Linked DNA regions of Elephas maximus indicus. The protein of the gene in region 2 interacts with the protein of the main gene of each other region in a pairwise test. Links are inferred from orthologs where the notes say so. Each region holds a gene or a part of one and is shown on either strand. Other genes may lie near its edges.

Region 1 (7,153 bases), on a different chromosome or scaffold from region 2:
AACTGCCTTTAAGCCTGCCTCATAAAGGTTAGGATTTACAACAGATAGGATAATCACATCAGATCACAAAATGGTAGACAACCACATAATACTGGGAATCATTGCCTAGCCAAGTTGACACACATTTTGGGGGGACACAATTCATTCCATGACAGGCCCCTATGTTGAACTTTCTAGGAGCTTTTAGTTATTTCTCATACGCTTTCTAGGTGTGCAATCAAATAATCACAAATGATGTCATTTGCTTCCTCCTTTCGATTTGTTGTATCTCTTATTTTGTCTCCTGCCTTTTCATGTTTGCTGTAACGCAGTTTTTTTTTAAGTTTGTTGACAGCTAAAAGAGATTTTAATAACATTTTGTGGGAAACTTGAAAATATGAGAACAAAGCTCGTTTAGAAGAATAAATGCCTAAGAGCAATACAGAAAATTGAGGAAAAAGGAGGGTATATTAAGAGGGATTTGCCTTACCAGGTATCAAAATATCCTATGCTGTTGTTGTTTGCTGTAGAGTCAATTCCAACTTAAAGAACCCCATAAAACAGAGTAGAACTGCCCAATAGGGTTTCCCAGGCTGTAATCTTTATGAAAGCAGATCGCCAAGGATTTTCTTGTGAGGAGCTGCTAGTGACTTAAACAGCCAACGTTTCAATTAACAGCCAAGTGCTTAACCATTGTGCCACCAGGGCTCCTTAAAATATCCTATAGAAGCATGGTAATTAAAACAGTAGAAGTCCTGGCACAAATAGATTTTTGGAAGAAAATAGAATGCATAGACTAAATTTGTCCGTATTTAATACACGAAAGAATGGCATTTCAAATCAATAGAGAAGTGATAGATTATTTAATAAATGGTATTTCAGTAACATAAAAATTAGGACTAAGGTAAAACCATGATAACAAAACTGTATTACAGTTGCAATTATATAATTACAAAAAATATATAAATAATCTTTGGACATAAAAGGCCATTCTAAAAGTGGTCCAAATCTGGGAATCCATAGAGGAAAAGACTGTTAAATATGCCTATATAACAATGCTAAAAAAAAAAAAAAAAAAATCCTCCATAATGGTAAATGATCACAAAGTTAAAAAGACAACAGACAAATTAGGAAAAATATTTGTAACCTATAAAATAAAGGGTTTATTAATAATATTAAAAGTTTCTACAAATAATTTGAAAATTCAACAGGAAAATAGGAAAAAATTTGAACAGACAATTCATGAAAGAAGTACACTGTATCAATGATAATTACAAAAGGTACTTAATATATTGGCTTAGTTTGGGTTCTCTAGAGGAACAAAACCAATGAGATGTATATATGTGTGTATATATATGTATATATACATATAAAACTTCCATTGCCATCAAGTCTATTAGTGACCCTATAATACAGAGTAGAACTGCCCCAAAGGGTTTCCAAGGAGTAGCTGATGGATTCTAACTGCTGACCTTTTGGTTAGCAGCTGGCCTCTTAGCCACTACGCCAGCAGGGTTCCATATATGTATGTAGATGTACCTACATCATATCTATATCTATCGTATACATATCTATCATATCGTATCTATATCTGGTGGTGCAGTGGTTACGAATGCAGCTGTTAACCAAAAGGTCTGCAGTTGGAATCCACCAGCCACTCCTTAGAAACACTATGGGGCAGTTTTATTCTGTCCTATAGGGTTGCTATGAGTCAGGATTGACTTGATGGCAATGGGTTTGTTTCATTTTTGTAAATAAAGAAAGAGAGAGAGAGGAGTTGATTGATTTACTTCAAGGGATTTGCAAATGTAATCGTGGGGCTGGCATGTCCAAAATCCATAGGCCAGGCAGCAGGCCAGAGGCTTCTGCAGTCTCACATTCCAAGATCCACAGACCAGGTGATGAGGTAAGTGCAGGGTCAAAAGAAAGAGAGAAAGTGAGCTCTGCCAGAATATCCGTTTATCCAGTACCAACTGATTGGTTGATCATATCAGATCACATCACAGAAAGTGATTACATTATGGAACAGCAACCAGTCCAATATCTGGCCAAACCACTGAGAACCATAGTGTAGCCAGGCTGACATAAAAAATTAACCATCACATATATGACTTATTAGATAGCTATAAGTTTAAAAGTTTGACCATTCTCTCTTAAAAACTTGTGAGCAGCCATCTAAGATACTCCACTGGTCTCACCCCATCTGGAGCAAGGGAGAATGAAGAAAGTCAAAGATACAAGAAAAAGATTAGTCCAAAGGACTAATGGAGCACAACTGCCATAGCCTCCACCAGACTGAGTGCAGTACAACTAGATGGTGCCCGGCTACCACCACTGACTGCTCTGACAGTGACCACAATAGAGGTTCCCTGACAGAGGTGGAGAAAAATGTAGAACAAAATTCTAATCACAAAAAAGGACTAGACTTATTGGCCTGACAGAGACTGAAGAAACTCTGAGAGTATGTCCCCCGGATGCCTTTTTAGCTCAGTAATGAAGTCACTCCTGAGGTTCACCCTTCAGCCAAAGATTATACAGGGTCATAAAACAGAACAAGACTAAATGGGGACACCAGCCCAGAGGCAAGGACTAGAAGGCAGGAGGGGACAGGAAAGCTGTAACAGAGACCCAAGGTCAAGAAGAGGAGATTGTTGACATGTCATGGGGTTGGTAACCGATGTCACAAAACAATATGTGTACTAATTCTTTAATGAGAAGCTAGTTTGTTCTGTAAACCTTTATCTAAAGTACAATTAAAAAAAAGGAAAAGTTTGACTATTCTCAGTTCTGGGGAGGAAATGGGTTTGGTTACCACCTATTTAAAGGGCAATCTGCTAGTATCTATCAATAGTGTACATACCCTTTGATCCAGCAATTCCACTTGTAGGAAGTCACCCTACAGAAACATTTAAGCATTCATTCTGTTCCTTCCATCTTTGCGGTAAATGATCCAATTGTATAATAATAGGATACTGGTTGGATAAATTGTGGAACATCCAATCTAAAAAAAAAAAAAACCAGTTGCTATTCACTTGATTCTGACCTCGTAGAGACCCACAGAACAGAGTAGAACTGCCCCGTAGAGTTTCCAAGGAGCGCCTTGTGGATTGGAACCGTCAACCTTTTGGTTAGCAGCCATGGCACTTAACCACTACCCCACCAGGGTTTCCAAATAATCTATATAATGTAACAAATAGAAACAATGCATTAAATTTGTATGTGCCGATATGGGGAAAATGTCCGTAATACATTGAGGAATATAAAAAGCAAACTGAAGCACACAACAGATAGTAAGATATCATGTGCTCCAAGGTCACATCAGCATCCTTTCAACTCCCAAAACTAATCACTTGTAACCACCTTATACTGAACTACTTTTCTTTGGAATGCTGTACTTCTGCTCACTGGACAGTCTTCATGTGTTTGCTTACTGTCTGTGGAAAGCTCCATGTGCACAAGGACTTTATTTTTTCAATGCTCTATCCTCAGTTCCTAAAACATTTTAAGTGTCTAATAATTAATTCAAAAAATATGGAGTAACACAGATATATATATATATATATGAACTTTATGTTTCAAACAATGTGGATTTAAGAGAATATCCCCATGATCTAATGTTAAATATATGTACAGCTAAAATATAATATTTGTGTCATCGTTTTCCAATTGACAAAGTTTCACTTATATAGTCTCATTTGGCCCTTACAACATCCCTCTGAAATACATAAAAATAATTAACAGATGCTTGCACTTCACGGTTTGTTAAAGCCATTCTTTCAACTGATGGTCACAGACCTGTTAACTTATCCCTTCCTGTTTACTTGCAAGGCTACTCCTAGTTTTTAGAACACTGCATACTGTCTTTGTATATGGAGTTCCGTAGTTCCAAAATGTTCTTCCCTGCCTCCGCATCCCCGCATCATACGTGTACTCATCCTTCAAAACCCACTTGTAGGCCCGACAGCTGGCCTCCCCGCTCTTCCTCAAACTCAGGGACCCACACAGCAGACACCTGCGATCACACAGCAGACACCTGCGATCACACACCACCCACTCTCTGTAACTGGAAGCTGCCTGAGAGACACTCGAGGCCCGTCTGGCTCCGCCCACGTCTGCGGCCTCCGGGGTTCGAAGTCTCCGCCCCCTCCGAGGAGTTTCCCAAGACCCAGCGCGGCACTTCTCAGCCGCGCTAAGATGGCGACTCCCATGCACCGGCTCATAGCCCGGAGACAGGCGTAAGTAAGGGACCGTTTCGGGCCCCAGGGTGAGCTGGAGACGAGGAGATACGCGTCAACCGACTGATGAGCGGGCGCTGGGATGCGGGGCCGTTTCTGCATCCCCACTGGGGACCGGCGGAGGGTGGGCGTTCTTTTTACACGTCACCTGCTCTCGAGGGTCTCGGGCCCGGGTGGTTAAGTTTGGTGCCCACTGTCTAGCGATTTCGCGGAGGACGACGTACGCTTATATAAGGTCCACGGGTCTGGACAGAGGTTGGTTTGAGGAGAGCCGCCGCATTTGTTTCCTCTGAAGGGGACGCCCAGGAGTTGGTTACTGAGTGGTTTCGTGACGGAGAGTGTGCCTCTCAGCCCACTCAGTCGACCACCCTACGCACGACCAAGGGAGGCTTGAAGCTCTGATCGGACTCCACCACTCTCGCCGAGATACCCTTCAGCCCCCTGTGAAGTCTCAGCTCAGCTGACTTTTCCTGCCCCCTCACTATCGACTTCCCTACAAGCGGCAGAACTGTAAGGCCAACTTTTCTCCCACGCTATCCCCTGGTTTTCTACCATTCATGTACTCTGTCAACAAACGTTTATTCAGTACCTACTGCTCTGTGCAAGAATTTGAATGTAAAAAAAAGAGGTGTTCCAGATAGAATCCCTGCTTTCAGGGAGCTTACATTCTAGTGGTGGAGATAATCAATAAACCAAACAAATTTAGTAAGTACAGTTAGTGATGAGAACTTTAAAGGAAATAAAGTAAGATAAAAAGGAGCCCTGGTGGTGCAATGCTTAAGTGCTCGGCTGCTAACCTAGAGGTTGGTGGTTCAAACTCACCCTTGCTCTGTGGAAGAGGGAGGTGGCAGTTGGCTTTCCTAAAGATTTACAGCCTTGGAAACCCAGTGGGGCAGTTCTACTCTGTCCCATAGGGTCTCTGTGAATTGGAATTGACTCGATGGCAAGGGGTATGGTGTGATGTGTAAGAGGAAAAAACCCACTTAAAATTGGGTGAACTGAAAAGGCATCTCTTAAAAGGTGGAATTTGAACAAAGATTATAAGGGAGGGAAAGGAGGCAGTCATGAGCAGACTTGGGGAAGAGTATCCAGACAATGGCATAATTGCTTTGAGGCTGGAAAAACTTAGTTTTAAGAACTGAAAGAAGGCCATTGTAGCCCATGGGCAAGAGAGAGTGGAACAAGCTAAAATTACAGCGGTTTGTGGCAGACATAATGCAGGAGCCATCCCAAATGTCCCCTTCTTGTAAAGCCTTCTACCAACATGCACACAAACAACCTCAGCCCCTTCATTCTCTCATCATTTCATGCCATCACTGTGTGCACATCTCTAATGCATAGATCACCATATATATTTGTTTATAGTTCTTTTTATATTTACATTTCTAATCTCAGATCCCTGTTCTTTCTCTTTTCCTCTTCATCTGACCCTACTCTCATGAGGAGCTCAAGGAGAGCGTGTAAGGATAAAGACTCAGGGAGTTAGAGAAGTAAACTTGGTTGAAGAGAACTTCAAAGTCACACAGTTCTGAGATCAAGAATGAGGTGATAATAATACTTAATAGGACTGCTAAGTGATGTCACCAGGGTCCCATATCTCCCTGTCTTTCTCTAGTGTGCTCTTTTGGGTGTTGGCTCCACACTTGGATAGGATCTCTCCTTTGGTCCCAAGATAGCTGCCGTATCTAGGGTCCTTTTATGTCCTTTCAGCTTCAACTCCTTCAAATAAGGCAAAAATGATTTTATCTCATTGGTCTTGATTGTGTTACATGACCAACCCTGAACCATGTTTTTGAGAATTGTGAAGCCCTGATTGCCCTAGATTGCATTCGTCGCCCAGTACAATTGGCCATTTTACCATAAACCAATGATGAGCTGGGTGGGAAGGTCAGAAGTGGTGAATGAATGCCGGATTGGCAAAACTAGCCTATGTCTACTGTAAATATGAAGTAAAAACAAGACTTTAGCAACCAAAGAAAATTACCGTTTGTTTTTCACAGTATCAGAAAGATTAACAAAGGTAATGTTTCTAGAGTGTGCCTGGTTTTGGTACATAAGCCACACAGAAATAGAAAACAAATCTTACCTTTAGGAGCTTCTGGTCGTGTTGGGAAGAAAACATGTGCTGTATAATAAAAGATGGTGTCGTATATAGACTAAGTTACCCAGGGATTCAGAGAAGAAGGTACTTTATAGGCTAGGGGAGTCCAGGAATGTTTGGAGAATATACAAGAGTGGAGACAGCAGGAGAGGAGCCTTTACTTTTCATTTTATATTCAACAAAAAGATTTCATTTTATGTATAACGGGCATATATTACTTTCATAATAGTAAGTTTAAAACTTTGTTTTAGGGTTATGAGAAGTGAGGAAGTATATTGTTTTCATTCTTTAATAAACTTTCTGGATTAATAGACAAGGGGTGAGGGTGGAGAGGAATAAAAGAAAAAAAAGAAAGTGAGCCTAAATTTGAACTCCCCATTCAGTATATCTTCCTGGAACTTTTTATTATCAAGCTCCTTTAAGTCAGTTGGGATGAAATTACTTCATCTTGTGAATTATAATGACATCTGCCCATACGTAAGTAGATTGTAGAATCTTGGCACTATCCACTGTCTTCTACTAAACCCTCTACTGGTTTCCATTATTTGCTCGTCAGCATCCAGAGTAGCCATCTAATTTTGCCTTGAAGACGTCTAGTAATGACAAACTCACTACCTCCTGAAGTGAGTTGTTACACTTTTCAAGTCTGTCCAAAAGTTTATGTTGAGCTGGAAGGAAAAGAATATTTATGAAGGCAAAACCTTCTAACTTCCCTGCTTTTGACCCAAGCTGTGATTTCAGTTAGTTAAAAACCCTAAGTGTTTCCCACATGAACTGGCATCAAGTCTGGCCTCCCCTGTCCTGTATTTGTATTGATTTTCTGGAATTCAGTGTCAGA
Region 2 (6,996 bases):
AGAAAATTTTTCACATGATCCCACCATATAGGGTGTTTCTCATTAACAAATATAACAAATAATGTTTAATGTTTAGCAAAAAAATGCCCCAAATTAACTCTGCCTTCTGTTTTGGGCTTCTTTCTTATCCCACAAGTTTCACTGTTTTGTGATTTCTGTTACTTTTATACCCTCTAAAAATCTCAGCACTTGAAAAATTAATTGTGAATTCTTAGATATGACAATGAAAGCATGAGCAACAAAAGACAAAATAAATTGAGCTTTATCAAAATTAAAAACTTTTGGGCACCAAAGGATTTTATTAAGAACATGTAGAGACAACTTAGAGAATGGTAGAAAATATTTGGTAACCATGTAGCTGATGAGGTTTTAATATCCAGAATATATAAAGAACTCTACAACTCAACAATAAGAGAACAAACAACCCAATTAAAGAATGGGCAAAGTACTTAAACAGACATTTCCCCAAAGAATATATTCAAATGGCCAATAAGCATGTGAAAAGATGCTCAACATCATCAGTCATTAAGGAAATCTCATCAAAACCACAACGGGATACCACTTCACAGGCACTAGGATGGCTATTATCAGAAAAACGACAATAACAAGCATTGGTGAGGATGTGGAGAAACTGAACGCTCATTCATCGTTAGTGGGAATATAAAATGGTATAGCTGCTGTGGAAAAGTTTGGCGGTTACTCAAAAAAGTAAAATACAGAATTACCATATGACCCAGCAACTCCATTCCTAAGTATACACCCAAAAAAATCGTAAGGGGGAAAAGAAACAGATGCTCGTATACCAGTGTTCATAATAACCAAAAGGTGGAAACAACCGAAGTGTCCATCAATAGATGAAGAAACAAAATGTGATATAGCCATACAATGGAATATATACAGAAATGAAGTAGATGATACAACATGGATGAACCTTAAAAACTTCTGCTGAGTGAAATAAGTCAGACACAAAAGGACAAATCTGTCTGATTCCACTTGTATGAAATATCTAGAGTAGACAAACACAAAAGTTCATTATTGGTAAGGAGGGGTTGTGAGGAGGGTAAGTGTGGAGTTATGGCTTAAGGGGTACTCGGTTCCTGTGGAGGGTGGTGAAAAACATTTAGAAATGGATAGTGGTGATGACTGTACAACATGGTGAACAAAATTAATGTCACCGAATTATATGCTTAAACTAGTTAAAGTGACAAGTGTTTTGTTACATGTATTTTTCAAATAATTTTTTAAAAATTAATTGGAATTGCTCTCCTGGCTCAGAATCAGGGGAGAACATGCAGAACACACTCTTAATAGCCATAAATGCAAGTGATTAACAGACTGACATCTGTGTTTTGACCTTTTATCAATACACATAAAATATGCCCACTGGTGAATCTTCTAGCGAACTTAAAAAAAAAAAACACTGAGATTTGGGCTAATGGTCTGAAACAAAGTAAAATTAAATATGAATATGAAGAATTATTCTAAAATCTCAGCAGAGACTAAAGCACAGAAATTGGTATTTACTTACACAAGCTTTAAAATACTTTAGGCCATCTACTGATTTTTCGTTTAAGAGTATCCTCAGAAAAAAGACAGCTTACTTCCTCCATAACTAGGGATTCTCTGGATGGTCTGTAAAATATGATCCTGAGCAAAACATAATCCACTTATTCACAAATAGTTACTAAATGCCTACTAAATGACCTGAAAGCACTCCAAAGCCAACTACATGCTTAAAAAATTCTCTATGGTTCTGTATGATTTTCAGCAGCTATGCCTGCTTCTCTCTTCTCTTATGCCTGCTTTGGAAACCCTGGTGGCATAGTGGTTAAGTGCTACGGCTGCTAACCAAAGCGTTGGCAGTTTAAATCCACCAGGCGCTCCTTGGAAACTCTATGGGGCAGCTTTACTCTGTCCTGTAGGGTCACTATGAGTCGGAATCGACTCGATGGCACTGGGTTCGGTTTTTTTTTTTTTTTCGGTTTTTTTTTTTTTTTAAAGCTACCGCTGCTGACCAAACCGTCAGCAGCTGGGACCTGCCAGGCATTCGTTCCTTGGAAACTCTATGTGGCAGTTCTACCCTGTCCTATAAGGTCGCTATCTTATATAACTGGCATATATACATTTAATTTTCAGGATTATGTGACAAAACTGGAAATGATAAATACAAAAAAATCCCTCTATTTTAGCACAGAGATTTTAAAATGTAAATGAAGAGGGAGAAAAAACAAATTTCATTATTTTCACTGATGGGGAAGATATCACCTGAAACTTTTTACATGTCTTCAGAGAAAGTCTTTTTTTTTTAGTATCTAGTGATTTACCCATCAGCACAATCTTTTAAAATTCCTTCCTTAGCAACCTAACACTGTTTATTTAACTACCCCAGCCTGAATTCTACCTTGACTTGGGGTTAATTGTACTGGGGACTGCAGTGATTGGTTCAAACTAAACCTAAGTCAGTGTTGTTTAAAGCAGGAGGAGAAGGAGTAATTACTGAGATAACTCAGAGTTGCCTTTTCAGCAAAAGCTCCAGCTAAGGCCAGTCATAAGGCAAGTCACCCATTCAACAAACAGGTGCTGCTCACATCCTGTGCCTGGCCTTTAGCAAAGCACTGAGTCCTCTAGCAAAGTCTGTCAAGTAGCTCTCTGCACCAGATACTCCCAAATGCTACTAGAGGCATGGATACACGAATAACTTTCTTGAGGTATGGCCATAAGACTCATGGATTCATTCCACACAAATAATCATGCTCAAAAATGCAGACAGAACGATACCCAACGAACTGCTTTTTCTAATAGCTAAAAACTGAAAACCATCTGTATGTTCACCATCAGGAAATCTATTACGTAAATTACAGTCCAGCCCATGCCAGGCGCCAGGGACGGATGTGGTGGTGAACTTGGCACACATGAACGCATAGCCTTGTGCAGCGAATAAAAAGAATGTAGAAAAACATTTATAGCCGTGGGTACATACGCATGATGTATCGTTAAGCAAAGGAAGCCAAGTTACAGCACTTACAAGATCCAGGTTCTGCAAAATAAACCCTGCTCATGCCTTTTTTTTTTTTTTTTTTTCATGCTTACAGGGTAAAATGGACTGAAAGGAAATAAACCTAAATGTTAACAGGAGTTGTTCGGGGGAGCAGTGATTCGGTTGATTTGCTTTCTTCTTTGTGCTTTTCTATTATATTTTTTTGACGGCAACAAATACTATTTCTACAGTCTGAGTAAAAAGCCCGAGGCGCCGGGCCTGGCTGGGTACCGACGCCACACACCCGCCCTCTGCCAGCCGGAAGCCTGAAGCCGAGGGCCGCCCAGGGCCTTCGCCGGGCCGACGGGAAACGTCCAGAACACACCCCGCGCGGCCCGCGCCTCACCCCGCAGGGTCCCAAGGTCCGCACAGACATTGCCCGCGGCCTCAGCCGCCAGGAGATGGCTGCCACCGCCCACGCTGCCGTGGCTCAGCGGGTTGCGGGGACGCCTGGGGCTGCCCACAGGGGCTTCCAGGGTCCCGGGCGGGGGCGCCCGGGCTGTGGAGGGTGGGCCAGGCCCTCCGCGGTCCCGCCCAGGCCGCGGGTCTCACCTGTGCGCGGTGGATGCCGGAGGCCCTTGGGGGCTCCGCGCTAGGCACTGGGTTGGTTCCGACACGGCCACTCGAACGGCGTGAACTTGCTCCGTTCGCCGAGAACCGGACGCAGCCGGCGCGGACACTGAAAGCTGGGCAGGCGCAAGTCCCAAACGCGCGGCTGTTTGTCGCGCATCAGGTCTCCCGGGGTGCTCGGCGCAGGTCTCCCGGGGCGCTCGGCGCAGGCCACCACCTTCTCACCGCACGACCGATCCAACCCCCGCCCGCCGCCTCAGCGGGAGATTTCACGTTCTCTGCACAGACCGTCCTCAATCCGCACGCGAAACATTACCTAGTCCTGCACTGCATCCCCTCATGCAACCAACAAATGCTAGTGAGAGCCAGCGGTGTGCCAGGCTCTGGGCTGGACGCTAGGGACAATCTGGTGGGCAAAATCTGATCCAGTGCCTGCTCTGAAGTCTTAGGGTAGGTAGACCTGATCCTGGCATTCTCTCCTTGAAATCCTTATGGACTCTGGTTTGCTTCTTTAGTTTCAAGACTAAAACTCCAGAAGGTAGGCAGGAGGCCTCATAGATGATCTAGGCCCTGCCTACTTGGATTCATTTAGAAAGGCAAATGCTTCCAACTCCTTCTCACCCAGGGCCTCTGCAAATGCTCCCTCCCCTGCCTGGGATACTCCTCCACACTGCTTCTTTTAGTTAACTTCCATTTTGTGTTGAGATTACTCTTCAGATAGCATTTTTTAAAGAAAACTATTCTAGTTTTTAAGACTTGAAGCACCTGTGATTCTTCTCGGTCGTTTTCAAGGTATGTAATGGTTTGTGTAATGTTTGCTTAACGTATGACTTATTCCTAGACTGAGGTCCAGGACACTAGGAACCATGGCTGTTTGATTCCCGCTCTTATGCTGCCCACATCTGCACAGTGCAGAGTCATAGGGGGAAAAAAACCCCACCAAACCAGTGCCCTGGGGTCAACGCTGACTCAGGCAACCCCATGTGTGTCAGGGTAGATTTGTGCTCCATAGGGTTTTCAGTGGTTGATTTTTTGAAAGTAGATTGCCTGGTTTTTCTTTCAAGGCATCTATGGGTAGACCCAGACCTCCAACCTTTCAGTTAGTAGCCCAGCAGTTTTATGGTTTGCCCCACCCAGGGACTCCAGACTCAGTCCAAAAAAAACCAAACCTGTTGCTCTTGAGTTGATTTTAACCCTGTAATACAGAGTACAGCTGCCGCATAGGGTTTCCAAAGAGGGGCTGGTGGTTTCAAACTGCCAACCTTTTGGTTAGCAGCCAAGTTCTTAACCACTGCACCACCACAGCACCTCAAAGTAGACTCTGATAAATACTTGTTGAATAAGTGCATGAAAAGCAGTCCTGAGTAATGTTTCAGGAGGAGACATTGTCGCCTGCAGAGAGTGAGGAAGGTTGTTGACAGGCCATCTGAGGAGATTAGTGAGTGGTCCCTGTGGACAGTGGGCCCAGCAATAGACCAGAGACATGTGAAGGGATTCTGGAAAGGTTGTGAGAGCCCAGCAGATTACAAGCATACTGTGCTTGGCCCCATTGTGTAATTTCTTCTTGCAGCTTGGTGTTAATGGAGAGGATTGTTTCATCTTTGGGGTTGGCAGGGTGAACGGAGAGTTGAGAGACATTAGGGATCAACCTATTGTCTAGGTTACCACTGTCCAGGGCTCCTTGCCCAGGGAATAAGAAGTAGGTGGAAAATTCAACTCAAACTGGAATATTCCCCCAATTCCAGGTATATAATGTAATAATGACTGAATAATGACTGAATTCTTAAGCAAATTATGTTACAGGGATTCTGCTTATTCTGTCGATTCCTTATTTGCTGTCCGTATTGAAAGTTCCCTGAGAACAAGGACTTTTCATATTTGTATTTCCCTGTTGAAAGAATGGATTGGGAGAAAGGTAAAAGGCTCCAGAGTGAAAATTTCCAAGAGATGGGACAAGGCTGGTTTAAGATGCCTCCCTAATTTCCTTTTCTGAGAAACAATCCTGAGTTGTTGGGCTAGGACAAGGAAACCCTGGTCAAGGAAAAACCCAAAGGTACTGTTTAATTAAACATCACATTTTCTTAGAAAACCTGAGGATCTGGATATCACTTACAAGACCAATAGGTTATAATTTATTGACAAGTGCCTTAGATATCGCTGTCTTTAGTTCTCCTAACAGCCCAGAGATTATATTTACCCCCATTTTGTAGGCAGACCCAAAGCCCTTTAGAAGTTGTAGGCCCAGGCCTGTGGAATTTGAAAGGTTCATGTTAACAGGGCCTGTTATTAGGAAAGTACTGTGCTTGAAGAAAAATCTAGGCCTAGCCCAAGAAGCCTGGAGGAGTTCTTTGCCCAGGGACACCAGAGTACAGCCAGGTTCTGCTCACCAGCAAGGTGCATCGATGTCTGCATTCAAAATAGGCAAGGCAACCTGTGATTCCTCAGCTGGCTTGTCATGTGCCACTGTTTCTTCTTTGGGTATAGCTTCTAGGATACCTGGAACTGGGGGAATATTCCAGTTTGAGTTGAATTTTCCACCTACATCTTATTCCCTGGGCAAGGAGCCCTGGACAGTGGTAAAGTACTCAGTTGCTAATTGAAAAGTTGTCAGTGTGAATCCACCAGCAGCTCTGCAGGAGAAAGATGTGACAATCTGCTTCTGTAAAAATTACAGGCTTAGAAACCCTATGGGGCAGTTCTGTTCTGTCCTATAGGGTCGCTATGAGTTAGAATCAACTTGATGGCAACAGGTTTTTGGTTTATTCCTTTGGCCCAGGACACCTGAGGTAGGAGTAGTCACTGATTACTTGACAGGACTGTTATAGAAAGAAAAAAAGTCTCAATAAAGCCATTGTGAGATTATTGAACTCAAGTATAAAGTTTACTCATTTAGGCCAATCCTGCTTTTGACTTTTCCCAATATTAGTTTTCCAGGAAGTGCATAGATGCTGCTCTAACCTCCTACATTGCCCCACAACCAACTTGCCCATAGACACTAGAGACTTATTTTAAGAGAAAAGCCAAAAACACTCTTATTCACGATAGTCTGTTATCACAGGACCTCCTTTTGAAAAGAGAATTGTTGATGGATTGATTTTTCTGAACTCATTTTTTAAACAGCATGATCGGAGACCAAAATAAAAGGGAAATGTTACAAACATCTGATAGCTACAGACTTAAAATTTTCCACGTGCCCTTCCAGCACTAGCCCCACATGATTATTGTTAAAGGAGGCAGCATCAGTGCTTTAGAAACAAGCCCAGGGTGAAGTATTCTGGCTGCTGGGCCAGCCTCAGAGGGCAGTGTGTCAGAGCCTTTGCCAGTGACCACAGTCTGCTGCTGCTAGCCAGGCTGCTGCTGCATCTCTCCCCATGTATACAAACACAGAC
Region 3 (7,472 bases), on a different chromosome or scaffold from region 2:
AATAGAAATAGTACAGAATAGACACGGAAAAGGACAACGAGTTTCTATTGTATTTACCTCCAGCCAGCTCCTCCAGGCTTGGCACATGAAAAGGAGACTCGACACAAGCCATTTTCTTTCTTCTTTAGGTGTAAGGTTGTACAGATAAAGCTACTGCAGGCTAATTCTCACGAGAGTCCACAGTGCACCAAACATGAACAGCTGCTGATCTGGAATTGAACACTCAGAGTTTAGTTATTAAAAGAGGACAAAAGGGCATTTAGGTTTCTGTTCATACAGAAAGGCAACCATATCTCTTAACACTTTATTCTCACAAGCAACTCTTTATTAATACTGATATTTTAAGTCATTTTAAACAGACTGGGAAGGGGAAACTCCAAACCAAGAGATCACATGTGATTCATTTTTTTTAGTCATACACAAAGATTGACATGCGATTTAATGGTTGGTGTAAGGAATACAGGTCCTGAAGCAAAAGGTACTGGCAAATATTTCTATAATAGATGATTGGTGTGTTCTACTCTACATTTGACATTTAGGTTAAAAATTCAGTTCCTTAGAGTATCACTTTTACAAAAGAAAATCTAAAGTACTAAAAGAGATGGAAACTTCTAGAAATAATCAGCTTTTGAAATTCAAATTTTTACTTTCATTTACAAATATACGTTTTATAGTAAGCAGGTTTTTGTTCAATTATTCTGATAATCTTTAACCAATTATAATTTGGTATTTTAAAAATATATGCTAAGTGCATGTACCAATAAATAGGCATACATAAAAACATACACAGCGATTAATACCTTACCTCAAGGGTTCACATGATGAGGAGGTGTACCAGCAGAGGGAGATAAAATGAAGCCAAAAAAGACTCCACAAACAACAGACGCAATATGAAGTGGGCGGGTAATCCTACACTAGGCCAGTCACGACAAGGAATAAGAAAAAAAAACCCTTATGGGAGTTTCTAAGAGCACTGTTGTTCTTGTTAAAATTGTTAATAAAACACTTCATTAACTGGATTAGCCTCTGACTTTAACAAGCTTACTTAGCAAGTGAAAGGTTGGCCCCCCAACATCACTTGAAAAAAAAAAAAATTTTTTTTTTAATTCCCCAAAGATTCACAGGTTTCCTAGAAACTGGGTTTCTAGTTTTGATCATTTTTGACAAGTATTTTCTATAAACATAGTACTGCATACATTTAGCACTTAGTGCTTTATCATTTACCAGCTTTTATTTATGAGGATAATAAAAGCACTCAATATCTTTGTTTGCAGTAGAAATTACTCAAATGAAAATTCAAATATAATCCTAATTTTATACCCTTTACTAACTCTAGAAGGTCAGTTTTTTATTTCCCCACCCAAACAAAGTCCAACCCTGCAAGGCTACAGCCTGAATGATTGATTTAGAAATGTACAACTTCAGACAGGCCAACAGTTAGCACAGAAGGCAGTGTGGTAGTAGTATGTGTGTGTACATGTGTGTGAGGGCAGGGGGTTGTTAGGGTTTGAGTGATGAGAGCTAGGGGGTTAGAAAGGTCTTAATATAAATTCATAAAGGCTCCAAGAGGAAAGCCTTGGAGCAGATGTAGGCAAACAATATTTACCCTCCCAATACAATTCGTTGGAGTTAATGGCCCAGAAATTGAGTTTAGAATAGGGAATAGAAATAGGAGGCAGTTGGGTAAGTCAGGTTGCAGAAAGAACACCCCAAAAGGGTAGACCAACTATGGCAACCAAGCTACCATTTACTGAGCGCAGCCTTATACCAGACATTCTCTCAAAACCTCTCACGACCATGACAGGGAGGTATTATGTTTCTCATTTCACAAAAGAGAAAATAGGTCAGAGAGGATGTATTATTTATCTAAGTTCACTAAGTTGGCAAATGGCAGAAACAGAATTCCAGGTCTAGCCCACTATAAAACCAGAACTCATGACACTGTTCCACGCTGGTTAACTGGTGAAGGACTGATACATTTCAGCTGAAAATAAGGAATAATCTGTACAGAGTTATCCTATAGCACTCAAAGTATTATCTATGTACATCTGTTTGCTTGCTCTCTTTTCCATAGTTTGTGATCTGAAGATAGGATTATGTTTCTCATATCTGTATTCCAAGTACCTAGCATACATTGGGGGCCCTGGTGGCACAGTGGTTAAGCACTTGGCTGCTAATCAAAAGACTGGCAATTCGAATCCATCAGCCACTCCTCGGAAACCCTATGAGACAGTTCCATTCTGTCCTATAGGGTCACTATGAGTTGGAATTCACTCTGCAGCAACAGGTTTGGGTTTTTTGTTTTTTTTTTTGTAGCATACAGCGGGCATTACATTCACAACACACCAGACTCATAAAGCTCTGGTACAGGGCCAGCTTCACTGGTGTGCAACTAGTGCAGTCACACAGGGCCATGCACTCAGAAAGGCACTTGGTTAAATGTTCTGCTGTCACCATCTTGAAATTTTTTTTTTTTAAATAATTTTGTCTTCGAACTTGGGTTTTGCAAATAAACTCCAAAGAGACAACAGGGTATGCACAGGAGCAGAGGAGAGCACTGCGACATGCATGCCCACCATGGGTCCTTGCCACCACTTTTGCAGACAGCATTTGTGATGTCCTGTTTTTTTATAAGCAGCAGAGAAGAGCCCTGATGGTACAGTGGTTAAGAGCTTGGCTGCTAACCAAAAGGTCTGCAGTTCAAATCCACCAGCCACTCCTTGGAAACCCTATAAGGCAGTTCTGCTCTGCCCTAGAGGCTTACTATAGTCAGAATACACTAGATTGGAAAGGGTTTGATTTTGGTTTTTATGAGCAGAGAGGATCCCTAGTTAAGTGTTCAGCTGCTAACCAAAAGGTGAGCAGTTTGAATCCACCAGCTGCTTCTCCAGAGAAAGATGTGGCTATTTGCTTTTGTAAAGATTTACATTCTTGGAAACCCTAAGGTGCAGTTCTACTCTGATAAATAGCATTGATAAGAGTTGGAATCATGGACCCAAGATGCATGGGAATTCAGTAAGCCTCAAAATCTTTGGCTTCCAGAGTGTTGGCAGAACGTGCAAGTATCAAGAACTGAAATAAAAACAGTTGAGTTAGCTTTACACAGCGTTTCTACTGTTCTAAGGTATTTCTTACTAGAACAAAACATACATTTGTATGAGCTATGAAATACAAATTTTGTGACGTTTCAGTGATTCTGCCTAAGAGTTAAATGTTATTAGATTTGTATTTAATACTGGCATTGCACAATATAAAGATAAATGATAAAATTCATGCCAACAATTTTAAATTTTTATTTTTCTTTACTTAGAATGGCATTACACAGCAAATAAAAAACATAACAAGTCGAGAGAGACCACGGAAGGAAAAGCTTTTTCCCTGCTTTTTGAACACGGGACCCTGCATTTTCATTTTGTACTGGGCCTCATAAATTCTATAGCCGGGTATGCTCCTTGAACAGGGCAGTGTATAAGACATGCATAGACTCCGTGGGTCAAATGCAGTGGGCTGCCTACAGAATCAGACTTTCTATACCTGAAGCTGTTCGATATCTGGCGCCAAATGGGGTAAAGAGACCAGATTACCCTTAAAGTTCTTTCTAATCCTGGGATGACGCTGACTATAAACGGAGACTAGACAACATCACTGCTTATACAAGAAAGCGGAAAATAATCAAACCGACTCATTCTTTTTTTAACTACTTTGTGGAAAAAAAATCAACTAGTTTAGCTGCTGTACCTTAAACACTCCGCAACCGGTCAAGGAACTTTTTTTTTCAGGGGAGGAGGGTGAGGGAACTGCAAAAAAAAAAAAATTCCTCCGCGGGTAACTCGTGGTATATTAACCAACTCCTGGGAGGCTGACCCTTAGTTTAGAAGGAATGGTGAGGCTAACAAAACGAATCTGAAGGTGTCTGGAGGGAAACTGGGTGTGCTATGGTGTAAGACTGGAGTCCAGGACAAAGGTTACACATTTCGATAACGGTCAAACCATGAACCTTTCCCAATATTTTAACACAGAACAGATATTTGAAGGCAAAAGTATTATGTCAAAAACTGCCAAAAAGGGATGCTTCACATTCCTGAACAGAAACCCAAACTCATCTGCCAACCTAGAATTCTACAGCTTGGCATGTAAGAAAAACACACACCATCCGGTACCAGGCTTTAGAAAGTCAGACGACAGCAGGGCGAATGCGATACCACCGGAAACAATTCACGGTTTTTTTCCTCGCAGTTCACATCCATTCCGCTCCTTTCGCCCACAATTTGTTTTTGCCGTTTGTCAAAATATTTTTGGCTACTGCACTTACCTAATTCGGTCTAGGAAGCCTCAACTTAATCTTCACCGTTCCCTCCGACAACCCCACCTCCTGACGTCACGACCTCAGGCTCCGCCTACTTCTTATCACACCTCCCCTGGCGTTGATCTAAATGGCTCCGGGGAGTCTCATCTCCTCCCACCTCTCGCTGTCGCCCGGGTGTCCAGTTGTATCGCGAGACTTCGGCCCCACTCTTAGGCGGGTCGCGCGATAGCTCTTCCCTTTCCTCCGAACGGTTGGAGAGAGGTAGGCCGTTTTCTGCGCGGTGCCGTGTTGGAGCGGGAGGCTGCTGGGTGCTAGGTACAGACTTCAGGGACACTTCCGCCGCGTCAACCCGAGGCTTCTGGCCCGAGGCCTGGGCTGAAGTGCTTACGGGCGTTTGCTTCCTACCAGTCTGGTGGGCGGGGGAGAGGCCGCTGATCTAGTTTTCCTCGGGACCACCGCGTAGTTTGGGGAAATCGAGCGCTGGAAATCAGGCCCTGAGGGTGGAGGGCTTCCCCGGGCCTAATGGCCGGACAGAGTCCCGAACAATCGCGGTTATCGCCTGTGGGCCTGTTTCGTTGGTCTGGTATGTAGCTGTTAAGATGTATGCCAAACGCCGGCATGTTTCTGACGCCAGTTTTTGGCGTGCGGTTAGGTGTTCCCGGAGGCCTAGCCGAAGGTCACCCGGTTGTGAGTGGTCGTGGGGGTGCTCTGTGTTAGATCTGGCCGAGCGCTCTAGCTTGCCACGTGGCTTCGAAGAACCGCAAAATCCCTGGATGGGAAGACAAGTACGAATGCTAGTTGAGCAGGTTCTGATAAAGTGACTTAAATTAGCTTTATTTTGGTGAGTGCTCGGTGTGTGTGTGTGTGTGTGTGTTTTAATTCCAGGTATACTGTCAGGGTCCATTGGATCCAAATTTTTGGGGTTTTGATTTGGAGCAGTTGGTACTTCATAGCTTATTAGCGGTTTTAGAATTTTGCATTTAAAAAATCTTTAAAAATTCTGTTTTGAGATTACCGCATGGGTCCGTTGGGCAGTTTCACAAGTTTCTAGATTGCAGCACTTATTGTTTCCCTAGACTTGGAACATTTTGCTGTTTTATCATGACAATTTATTGCATCGTTACGCAGTTTGTCGATTTCCAAGTACGCTGAAGACTTGTTCTTTGTTGCCATCTGAGACCCCATGTGTTCAGAGTAGAACTGTGCTCCCTGTGGTTTTCAGGCTCCTCTGGGTGGGTTTCTCCCACTATCCTTTTGGCTAGTAGAGCACTTGAGAGTTTGTCACCCAGGGACTCCTATGTGCTAAAATAATACAAAAATAGAATGATGGCATCCTGTAAGGAAGATGAGCTTAGGAAATCATCTTTCAGTTTTTCAATTGCATTATATGTGAAGTATTGTAAAATGACAAAAACCAAATCAAACTCATTTCGAATCCAGTCGATTCTGATTCATAACAATCCTATAGGACAGTAGAACTGCCTCGTTGAGTTTCCAAGGAGCGGCTGGTGGATTCGAACTGTCAGCCTTTTGGTTAGCAGCTGAGTTATTAACGGCTGCGCCACTAGGGCTCCACAAAAGACACTAAAACCCACTGCCATGGAGCCGATTCTGACTCCTAGCGACCCAGTAGGGTTTCCTGTAAATCTCTAGGAGGCTGACTGCTATGTCTTAATTCCGCAGAGCTACTGCTGGTTTCACACTGCCAATGTTTTGGTTAGCAGTTATCACCATAACCACTTCGCCACTAGGGCTCCTTCAGTAGTCTGTTTTAGCCTTTCATTGAAAGAAATGAAAATTCACAATTCTCAGTTTCTGTGCATGAAGACAACATGGGAACGTTTACCAAAAAAAGGTTTCATAATTACTTAATGTTAAGAGACCATAAGTGAAGTCCCAGACCAGATGTTGAAAATGGTGATGGAATCCAGGTGTAAATGGTGATGACTTTTTCCTGGTGTACTGAGGCCTATTGAACCACAGTCTACCTTCTGGCAGTTTTTCCTAGGAGTTCCTATCTATCTTGGGAAATAACCTTTTGGCTATTAATTGTATATTACTCATGGCTCCTGGTGAAATTACAGTTTTTATTGGTAATTAGAATGACGTTGGATGCTTTTGCTGGGAATGACAGTACTTTTCTGGATGGTATCTTGTACCATTGAATAGATTTGGAAAGACAGAATAGAACCTGTCAGTGCAATTTCTCATTTTTAGAGTTTGATGTGAAACTGTTTTCTAGATGAGAAGCTTTTAAAGGCCTGTTCAATCAAGTGATTGTGCCTAAATTCACAGCTAATGGTGTAAAGTACTTCAAAATTTCCGGTATTAAGATACTTGCTATCTATGTGCTGAAGTTTAGTGTTTATTCAGGGAAGCTATATCACATCTACTGAATTTATATTTTCAGAAATTTATCCCCTTAAAGCAAGGAACGGGTGATGGATAAAACAGTCTGACTTGAGGGACTTGGAGTATTTATCTAAGGAATGGATTCTCCCAGCTACACAATGACATCTGATTTAGCTACTGCTGTAGAAATTGAGGATCATAGGTAAGTCTGCATTTTTAGATCAACTGTTACTGTTTTAAACTGGAATATCTCAGCAGTAGATTCCATTAATGTTTACTGTATTCGAATTACCAGGAAAACAAATCGTTGTAGATATTAGTAGTGGTAAGAGTTAATTTTCAGAAATTAGGAAAGATGAAAGAAAAACTTGATTTACACAGACCTTCAAAATTAGATTAAATCTATGTGATTTTATTGAGTTATTACAACTACTTTGATTCAAAAGTATCTGACTTCCTGGATAAGTTGCCTCATTTTTTTATATCAAGTAAATGGACATCAGTGGAGAATGTTGCATAAAAATCAACCCATTAAGATATTCCACATAATGTAGAATGCTGACGTAAGTATATGAATTATGTGTTTAGTACTTCGTGAATTGTGGGGGCTCGTCAGCATTAGTATATTCTCATCAAATACTTGTCTGGTATGTCATATACACCCCCAGTTGGGGGTCCTGGTGGTGTAGTGGCTAAAAGCTCAGGCTGCTAACCAAAAGGTAGGCAGTTTGAATCCCCAGAGTTGTGTGGGCCATTTTATGTAGGGTGGTCAGAACTCAATGGCTAGGTTACCCTGGCCCCATCCCTGCCTCTT
Region 4 (7,506 bases), on a different chromosome or scaffold from region 2:
CTGTTACATAATAGATAAATCCACAATATAACATCTGAAAGCATCTAATATGCTATGCTAAAACCCTATAACCCATCCCTTCCAACTGACTCTTAACAAGACACCCCATGATTTCCCCTGGTATGTGGGCTTTCTTGCTGTAGACATTTAAAATAACTTGTCTTTGGTTTCAGGCATATTTTTGATCATACTTGGCTAATGGTCAATGACAAAGCAAAGAAGTGAAATGTAAACAGCTTCTCAATCTGGGTAAAGAATATATGAATATTCTTTAAAAGTATTTTCACAACTTTTCTGTAAGTCTGAAATTATATAAAAACAAAACGTTACAAAACATAATCCACCACATAAATATAACAAAAAGAATCACATGATCATCTCAATCAATGCAGAAAAGGCATCTGATAAAGTCCAACATCCATTCCTGACAAAATCTCTGGATAAAATAGGAATAGAAGGGAAATTCCTCAACATAATAAAAGGCATCTACACAAAACCAACAGCCAACATCATTCTCAACAGTGTGAAGCTGCAAGTGTTCACCCTGAGAAAGGGAACAAGACAAGGATGCCCTTTATCACCACTCCTATTTAACACTGCACTGGAAGTCCTAGCTACAGCAATGAGGGAAGAAAAAGAAACAAAGGGCATCCAAATGGGAAAGGAAAAAATAAAACTACCCCTATTCATAGGTGATATGATACTATACGGAACCCCAAAGATTCCATAAGAAAACTCCTGGAACTAAAGGAAAGATTCAGCAGAGCAGCAGGACACAAGATCAACATACAAAAATCAATTGGATTCCTATACACCAACAAAGAGAGCTTCGAAAAGGAAATCAGGAAAACAATACCATTTGTAATAGCCCCTAAAAAGACCAAATACTTAGGAATAAATCTAACCATAAAACTACAAAACACTACTGTGAGAAACCAAGAGACCTACATAAATGGAAAAACACACCATGCTCATGGATAGGAAGACTCCACATTGTGAAAATGTTGAATCTACCCAAAACAATCTACAAATATAATGTAATCCCAATCCAAATACCAACAGCATTCTTGCAAGATGGAAAAATTCATCACTAACTTTATATGGAAAGGAATGAGGCCCTGGACAAGCAAAGCATTACTGAAGAAAAAGAAAAGAGTATGAAGCCTCACACTACCTGATCTCAGAACCTATTATACAGCCACAGTAGTCAAACAGTCTGGTACTGCTACAACAACAGACACAAAGACCAATGGAACAGAATTGAGAACCCAGATGTAGACCCATCCACCTATGGTCAGTTGATCTTTGACAAAGGATCAAAATCCATTAGATGGGGAAAAGATATTCTTTTTAACAAATGGTGCTGGCAAAACTGGATATCCAACTATAAAAAAATGCAACACGACCCACACCACATACCATATACAAAAACTAAGTCAAAATGGTTCAAAGATCTAAATATAAAGCAATAAAGATCATGGAAGAAAAAATAGGGACAATGCTAGGGGCCCTAATATAAGACATAAATGCAATACAAATCATAACTAACAATGTGTAAACACCAAAAGATAAACTAGATGACTGGGAGCTCCTAAAAATTAAAAACTTATGCTCATCAAAAGACTTCACCAAAAGAGTCATAAGGGAACCTACAGACTGGGAAAAAAATTTTGGCTATGACATATCCTACAAGGGTCTAATCTCTAAAATCTATAAACTACTTCAACACCCCAACAACAAAAAGATAAATAATCCAGTTAAAAAATGGACAAAAGATGTGAACAGATACTTCATCAAAGAAGACATTCAGGTAGCTAACAGACACAGGAGAAAATGCTCATGATCATTAGCCATTAGAGAAATGCAAGTCAAAACCACAGATATCATCTCACCCCAACATTGCTGGCACAAAAAAAAAAAAAAACAGAAAATAACAAATGTTGGAGAGGTTGCAGAGAGACTGGAACTCTTATGCACTGTTGGTGGGAATGCAAATGGTACAACCACTATGGAATACAATATGGAAATACCATATGATCCAGCAATCCCACTCCTAGGAATATATCCCAGAGAAATAAGAGCCATCACACAATTAGACACATGCACATCCATGTTTACTGCAGCATTATTTACAACAGCAAAAAGATGGAAACAACCTAAGTGCCCATCAAGAGACAAATGGATAAATAAATTATGGTACATAAACACAACGGAATACTACGTAAAAATAAAGAACAGTAATGAATCCATGAAACATTTCACAACATAGATGAATCTTAAGGGCATTATGTTGAGTAAAATAAGTCAATCCCAAAAGGACAAAAATCATATGAGATCACTATTATAAAAACTCAAGAAAAGGTTTACACATAGGAAAAAAATAAACAATCTTTGATGGTTATGGGGAGGTGGAGAGGGGAAACCACTAACTAGACAGTAGACAAGTGTTAATTTTGAGGATGGGAAAGACAAAACACAATATAGGGGAAGTCAGTATAACTTGACAAAGGCAAAGTCATAGAAGCTTTCCAGACACATGCAAACACTTTGAGGACTGGGGAACACAGTCTCAGGGTACATCTAGTTTAAATGACAAAACACAGTTCATAAAGAAAATGTTCTACATCCTAGTTGGTTGAGTAGTGTCTGGGGTCTTAAAAGCTTGTGAGTAGCCATCTAAGATACATCTATTGGCCCCATCCTGTCTGGAGCAAAGAACGATGAAAACCAAAGACATAAGGAAAATATCACTCCAAAGGTCTAATGGACCACATGAACCATAGCCTCCACTAGCCTGAACCCAGAAAAACAAAATGGTGCCCAGCTACCACCACAGGCCACTCTGACAGGGATCGCAATACAGGGTATCGGACAGAGCAGGAGAAAAATGTAGAACGAACTACAAATTCACAAAAAAAGACCAGACTTACTGTCTTGACAGAGACTGGTGGAACTCCTCAGACAATGGTCACTGGATACCCTGCTAACTCAGAACTGAAGCCACTCCCGAAGTCCACCTTTCAGTCAAAGATTTGACAGGCCTATAAAACAAACGGTAACACAGGTGAAGAAAGTGCTTCTTAGTTCAATCAAGTACAGGAGACCAAATGAGCAACACCTGGCCAAAAGCAAAGATAAAGCAGGAAGGGCCAGGAAAACTGGACAAATTGACACGGGGAACCCGAGGTGGAAAGGGAACGGGGGACAATGCTGACACATTGAGGGGATTGCAACCATGTCACAAAACAATTTGCATATGTTTTTGAATGAGAAACTAATTTGTGCTGTAATCTTTCACCTAAAATACAATAATTTAAAAAAAAATCAGAAAATAGTAATAATAATAATAAGGATGATAATGATGACAATATATAGCATTCATTAGTCTATTCCTTTCTTGGCAGTGTTTAGAAATACCCATAATTTAAAAAGATAAGCATAAAAATATTATAGAAAATATGATACAACCTTTGTGAACCATTTATATGTAAATACACAAAGAACCACTACGGAAAAACGTACTTCAAGCTTTACAGTTGCTATCTTTTCATCCTGGAGTTGTAATTAAAAACCTTTTTCTCTGCATTTTCTGAACTGTCCACAATGATTTAATTCTATAAAAATAGAATATATTTTTTGTAATGAAATATTTGAGAACGTTCCTTAAAAACTCACAAGATTCCCACAATTAACTTCATTCCTGTTTTCTGTGGCTCGTGGGGTATATATCACAGAAATTATGAATTCGGGCTCTGAACTCAGAAGGTCTTGGTTCCTATCCCAGCTCTCCTCCTACTAGTTTGGTGACTATGGGTAAATAACTCTTATCTCCTCGTCCTTAAAATAGGAAAAAAAGCAATACCCACCTCACACAGCCACCAACCCCAAAACCAAACCCACTGCCTTTGAGTTCATTCTGACTTAAAGCAACCCTGTAGGGTATCCAAGGTTGTAAATCTTTATGGAAGCAGCCTGCCAGATCTTTCTCCGACAGAGAGGCTGGTGAGTTCGAACCTCTGACCTTTCGGTTAGCAGCCGAGCGCTTAATCACTGTGTCACCAAGGCTCCTTCACATAGCCACGGTGTGGCATAAATGTATTAATTTTTATAAAACCATTAGAACGAACTTAGCAATTAAAGCTTAATTTTTATCCTTACCCATGCGGACGTGTATGTCACATACATTCTACGATTTATGTGAAAATCTTTTTTTCAACTTTTAAAAATTTGATTCATCTTGTTGTTGTTGAGAATATACACAGCAAAACACACCAATTCAACCTTTTCTATATATACCATTTAGGGACAATGATTACGTTCTTCCAGTTGCGCAACCATTCTCACCCTACTTTTCTGAGTTGTTCCTTCCCCATTAACAGATGTGAAAATCTCTAGAACACCAAGTCCTACTCACGTGAGGCTCTTTGCCAGTAGCCAAGGAATCAGTTTTCCATCTCCTGCAGTCCTTTTTGAGAAATCGGGGCTAGGGAGGAAAGAATTCTGTGAAATGGTTGCCTCGCTGTCCCCGATAAACCACAGTTAATTCTCCTCACGCCGTACCAGCTAGAAGCAACCCATCCTTTCTAAAAAAGGGGTCAGATCATTCCTGAAGATCAGCTTCCTGCAGGGATCACAGAGAAGCGCCAGGGCGACTGTAGTTGAAGCTCTGGCTTCACAGGTTTCAGAGAACTGAGCGCTATTCGGGAAATCAAATAGTACTAACAACGGATACCACCACTTACCATGAGCCACGAACTGTTCTAAGACTTCTATTTGTACCACCTCTTTTAATTCTCGAAACAATTCTATTACGAATAGTAATATCCTCTTTTTACAGAAAAGCAACCGAGGACACGAAAAGATTAAATAACTCGCCCGCTATGCCGTGAGGTGGTGGCAGCGCGGATTAAGTTGGATGGAGACCGCTGCGGGGAGCGGAAAGCCGGGAAGACCCTCAAACCAGGGGACTAACGACCCGAACCCCTTACCAACACTTGCCGCGCGAACCGCTCGAAACGCAAGCGGCTACGCCAAGGGAACGTAAACCGCCACCCTGGTTTCTCAAACCTCCGCTTGCGCCACCACTTCTTTTCCCTTAAGTCTGTGTCCGGGTCGTTGCGTGTCCCAGCGCAGATCCAGGAACTTCGAAAGAGTCGCGAGGCCAAGACTGAAGCACCAGTATGAAGGGAAGATGGCAGGAACTTCACTGCTCGGGCAGAAGCGCCTGCCACTCCAGAGCTTCTGGAATACGTTTCCCAGAATTCCTCAGAACTGCTTGTCTGAGAGGAAACGCCCCAACTCCGCCGAGCTGCCTAACTACACTTCCCAGGATGCCCGAGGGCGAGGAACGTCAGTAACCGCATCCTTTCGGGGGAGGAAATGCTTCTGCTAATACAGAGTTCCTGGACTACACTTCCCACAATGCCGAAAGGAACAAAGCCCAAAATCTCGACCTCCTGGGGGGTAACGTGCTTCACTACGCTGAGAACGTGCATACCTTTCCCTGAATCCTCGAGCAAAAAGTATTTTATAGTCACGACATAGATACCTTTAACTATGGCAGGAGTATTGTTGCAAAAGGAATATTGAGCCAGGAGATAAAACTGCCAAGGAGTTAACGGGAATGCTCTTCTTAGAGGGCAGGAGTTAACTGAATTAAGATAATAGCCAGTATAATATGATGGTATGAGGCTAACACAGGGCGTTTAAAGAAGTGGCAAGGTAGAAAGGCTTCAGAAGGGCATTAAGCAACACAGAAGGTACCAACCCCTACTCCGGACCCTGTGGTACTACTACTCGTTTGGCAAAAAAAAAAAAAAAACACTATTTGAGAGGGCCAAACGGCAACAGTGGCCTCATGGTAAAGCCATGTTAATTCTTTTAAACTTTTCATGGTTATTATTATACCCATTTGGAGGTGAAAACAGTTTCAGACGTTAACATATTGTACAACATCTCCAAGCAATTATACCTGCTCAAGAGCTGAGCATTAGGGTCACTCCATGCTTCCAGTCCCTTCTCACTCCTCCAGCACTTCCTCCATTTAACTTAACCACTGTACGTAACCAATTTCACTATTTCCTGGTTTATTATTCCCATAGTTCTTCCTTCAGAAAAGATTCAGACATATGTAGATTTTATTTTCCTTTACAAAATTACCATGCTTTTTTCACTTAACAGTATATCCTACAAATCACTTCATCTAAGTACATTCTTTTTACAACTGCATAATACTCCACTGTGTGGTTCTCTCTATAGGCATTTACTTCCAACATTTTCTCATTACAAACAATGCTGCAATAAACAACCTTGTAAATTTATCTTTTCTCTTTGCTGAAGATACATCTTAAGGATAAATTCATAAAATTAGAATTGCAGAGTCAAATAGTATATACATATGTACTTTTTTGCATCTTCTCAAATTTCCCTCCATATTGGTTTGCATTCCCACTGGCAATGTGTGAGAGTAGCTTTTTGCCAAGTTTGCCAACAGAATGGTAAGAAATGGTACCTCAATGTAGTAAATGGTACCTCAATGTAGCTTTAGTTTGCATTTATTTTGAGTGAAGTGCAACATTTTTTCATATTTCAAGGGCAATTAATACATGTTTTTGTCAACCATCTCTCCAATTTGTTGCTCACTTTTCTATTGAGGTTTGTTCTTTCCACCTTCAAATTCTGAATTTTTCTTCATATATTAATAATATTAGTCCTTTATCTGTTAAATGGAGTCCCAAACCCAAAAAAACAAACCCAGTGCCGTCAATTCTGACTCACAGCGACCCTATAGGACAGAGTAGAACTGCCCCATAGAGTTTCCAAGGAGCACGTGGCAGATTTGAACTGCCGACCCTTTGGTTAGCAGCTGTAGCACTTAACCATTACGCCACCAGGGTTTCCAGTGGAGCCCCAGGGTGGTGCAAATGGGTAAGTGCTGGAATACTAATCAAAAGGTTGGAGGTTCAAACCCACCTAGAGATGCCTTAAAAGGCCTTGAGATTTGCTTCTGAAAGGTCACAGCCTTGAAAAACCTACAGAGCAGTTTTACTCTGCATACATGGGAGTGCCAAGAGTAAGAATCAACTTGACAGCAACTAACAACAATATACCCTCATTTTAATGGTTTCATATTATTACAGGAATATATCAAAAGTCAAATTCCTATTAATGAACACTTTATTTCCGTTTTAAAAAGTCAGGGGCATCACTGATGTGGCACTTTTGTTTTCAATGATTTAATCTCTTAATCATAAATTTTGATCACAGATTCCCAGATCAGAGCTATATATTGCACATTCTGATGTATACTCCTATACAAAACCATGCTTTTACTACCACCAACAGAGAAAGCATGAAAATGTCAGTCCCGTACCAACAGTGAATAAATCTGATGAAATTTTCAATTTCAGCATAGACCATACGTAAAAAGCTTTCATTAAAAAAAAATATACAGCAATTAGAATCCAATCCTATCAAAGCCTTCATGGAAATGCAGAGACTCAGAAA

Evidence for each region.
Region 1: the proteins of CEP70 (region 2) and ZCCHC10 interact in binary tests that used the Homo sapiens proteins (3 or more experiments, as listed by UniProt). The two-hybrid records come from large-scale screens. The link is inferred for Elephas maximus indicus from reciprocal best matches to the Homo sapiens genes CEP70 and ZCCHC10.
Region 3: the proteins of CEP70 (region 2) and TAF1D interact in binary tests that used the Homo sapiens proteins (3 or more experiments, as listed by UniProt). The link is inferred for Elephas maximus indicus from reciprocal best matches to the Homo sapiens genes CEP70 and TAF1D.
Region 4: the proteins of CEP70 (region 2) and zinc finger protein 234-like interact in binary tests that used the Homo sapiens proteins (3 or more experiments, as listed by UniProt). The two-hybrid records come from large-scale screens. The link is inferred for Elephas maximus indicus from reciprocal best matches to the Homo sapiens genes CEP70 and ZNF227.

Annotation. Positions count from the first base shown.
Region 1 is NC_064820.1:124,405,535-124,412,687, forward strand, and holds the start of ZCCHC10 (zinc finger CCHC domain-containing protein 10), read left to right. Parts: upstream 1-4,143; 5' UTR 4,144-4,173; coding exon 4,174-4,214; intron 4,215-7,153.
Region 2 is NC_064844.1:38,736,401-38,743,396, forward strand, and holds the start of CEP70 (centrosomal protein of 70 kDa), read left to right. Parts: upstream 1-3,971; 5' UTR 3,972-4,057; intron 4,058-4,158; exon of another isoform or gene 4,159-4,399; intron 4,400-6,996.
Region 3 is NC_064825.1:27,237,883-27,245,354, forward strand, and holds the start of TAF1D (TATA box-binding protein-associated factor RNA polymerase I subunit D), read left to right. Parts: upstream 1-4,463; 5' UTR 4,464-4,567; intron 4,568-4,579; exon of another isoform or gene 4,580-4,889; intron 4,890-6,716; 5' UTR 6,717-6,795; coding exon 6,796-6,860; intron 6,861-7,472. Other genes in the region: C7H11orf54 (ester hydrolase C11orf54 homolog), read right to left, coding at 58-112. UniProt on the Homo sapiens protein: Component of the transcription factor SL1/TIF-IB complex, which is involved in the assembly of the PIC (preinitiation complex) during RNA polymerase I-dependent transcription.
Region 4 is NC_064829.1:106,444,251-106,451,756, forward strand, and holds the start of zinc finger protein 234-like, read right to left. Parts: upstream 3,021-7,506; 5' UTR 2,931-3,020; intron 1-2,930. UniProt on the Homo sapiens protein: May be involved in transcriptional regulation.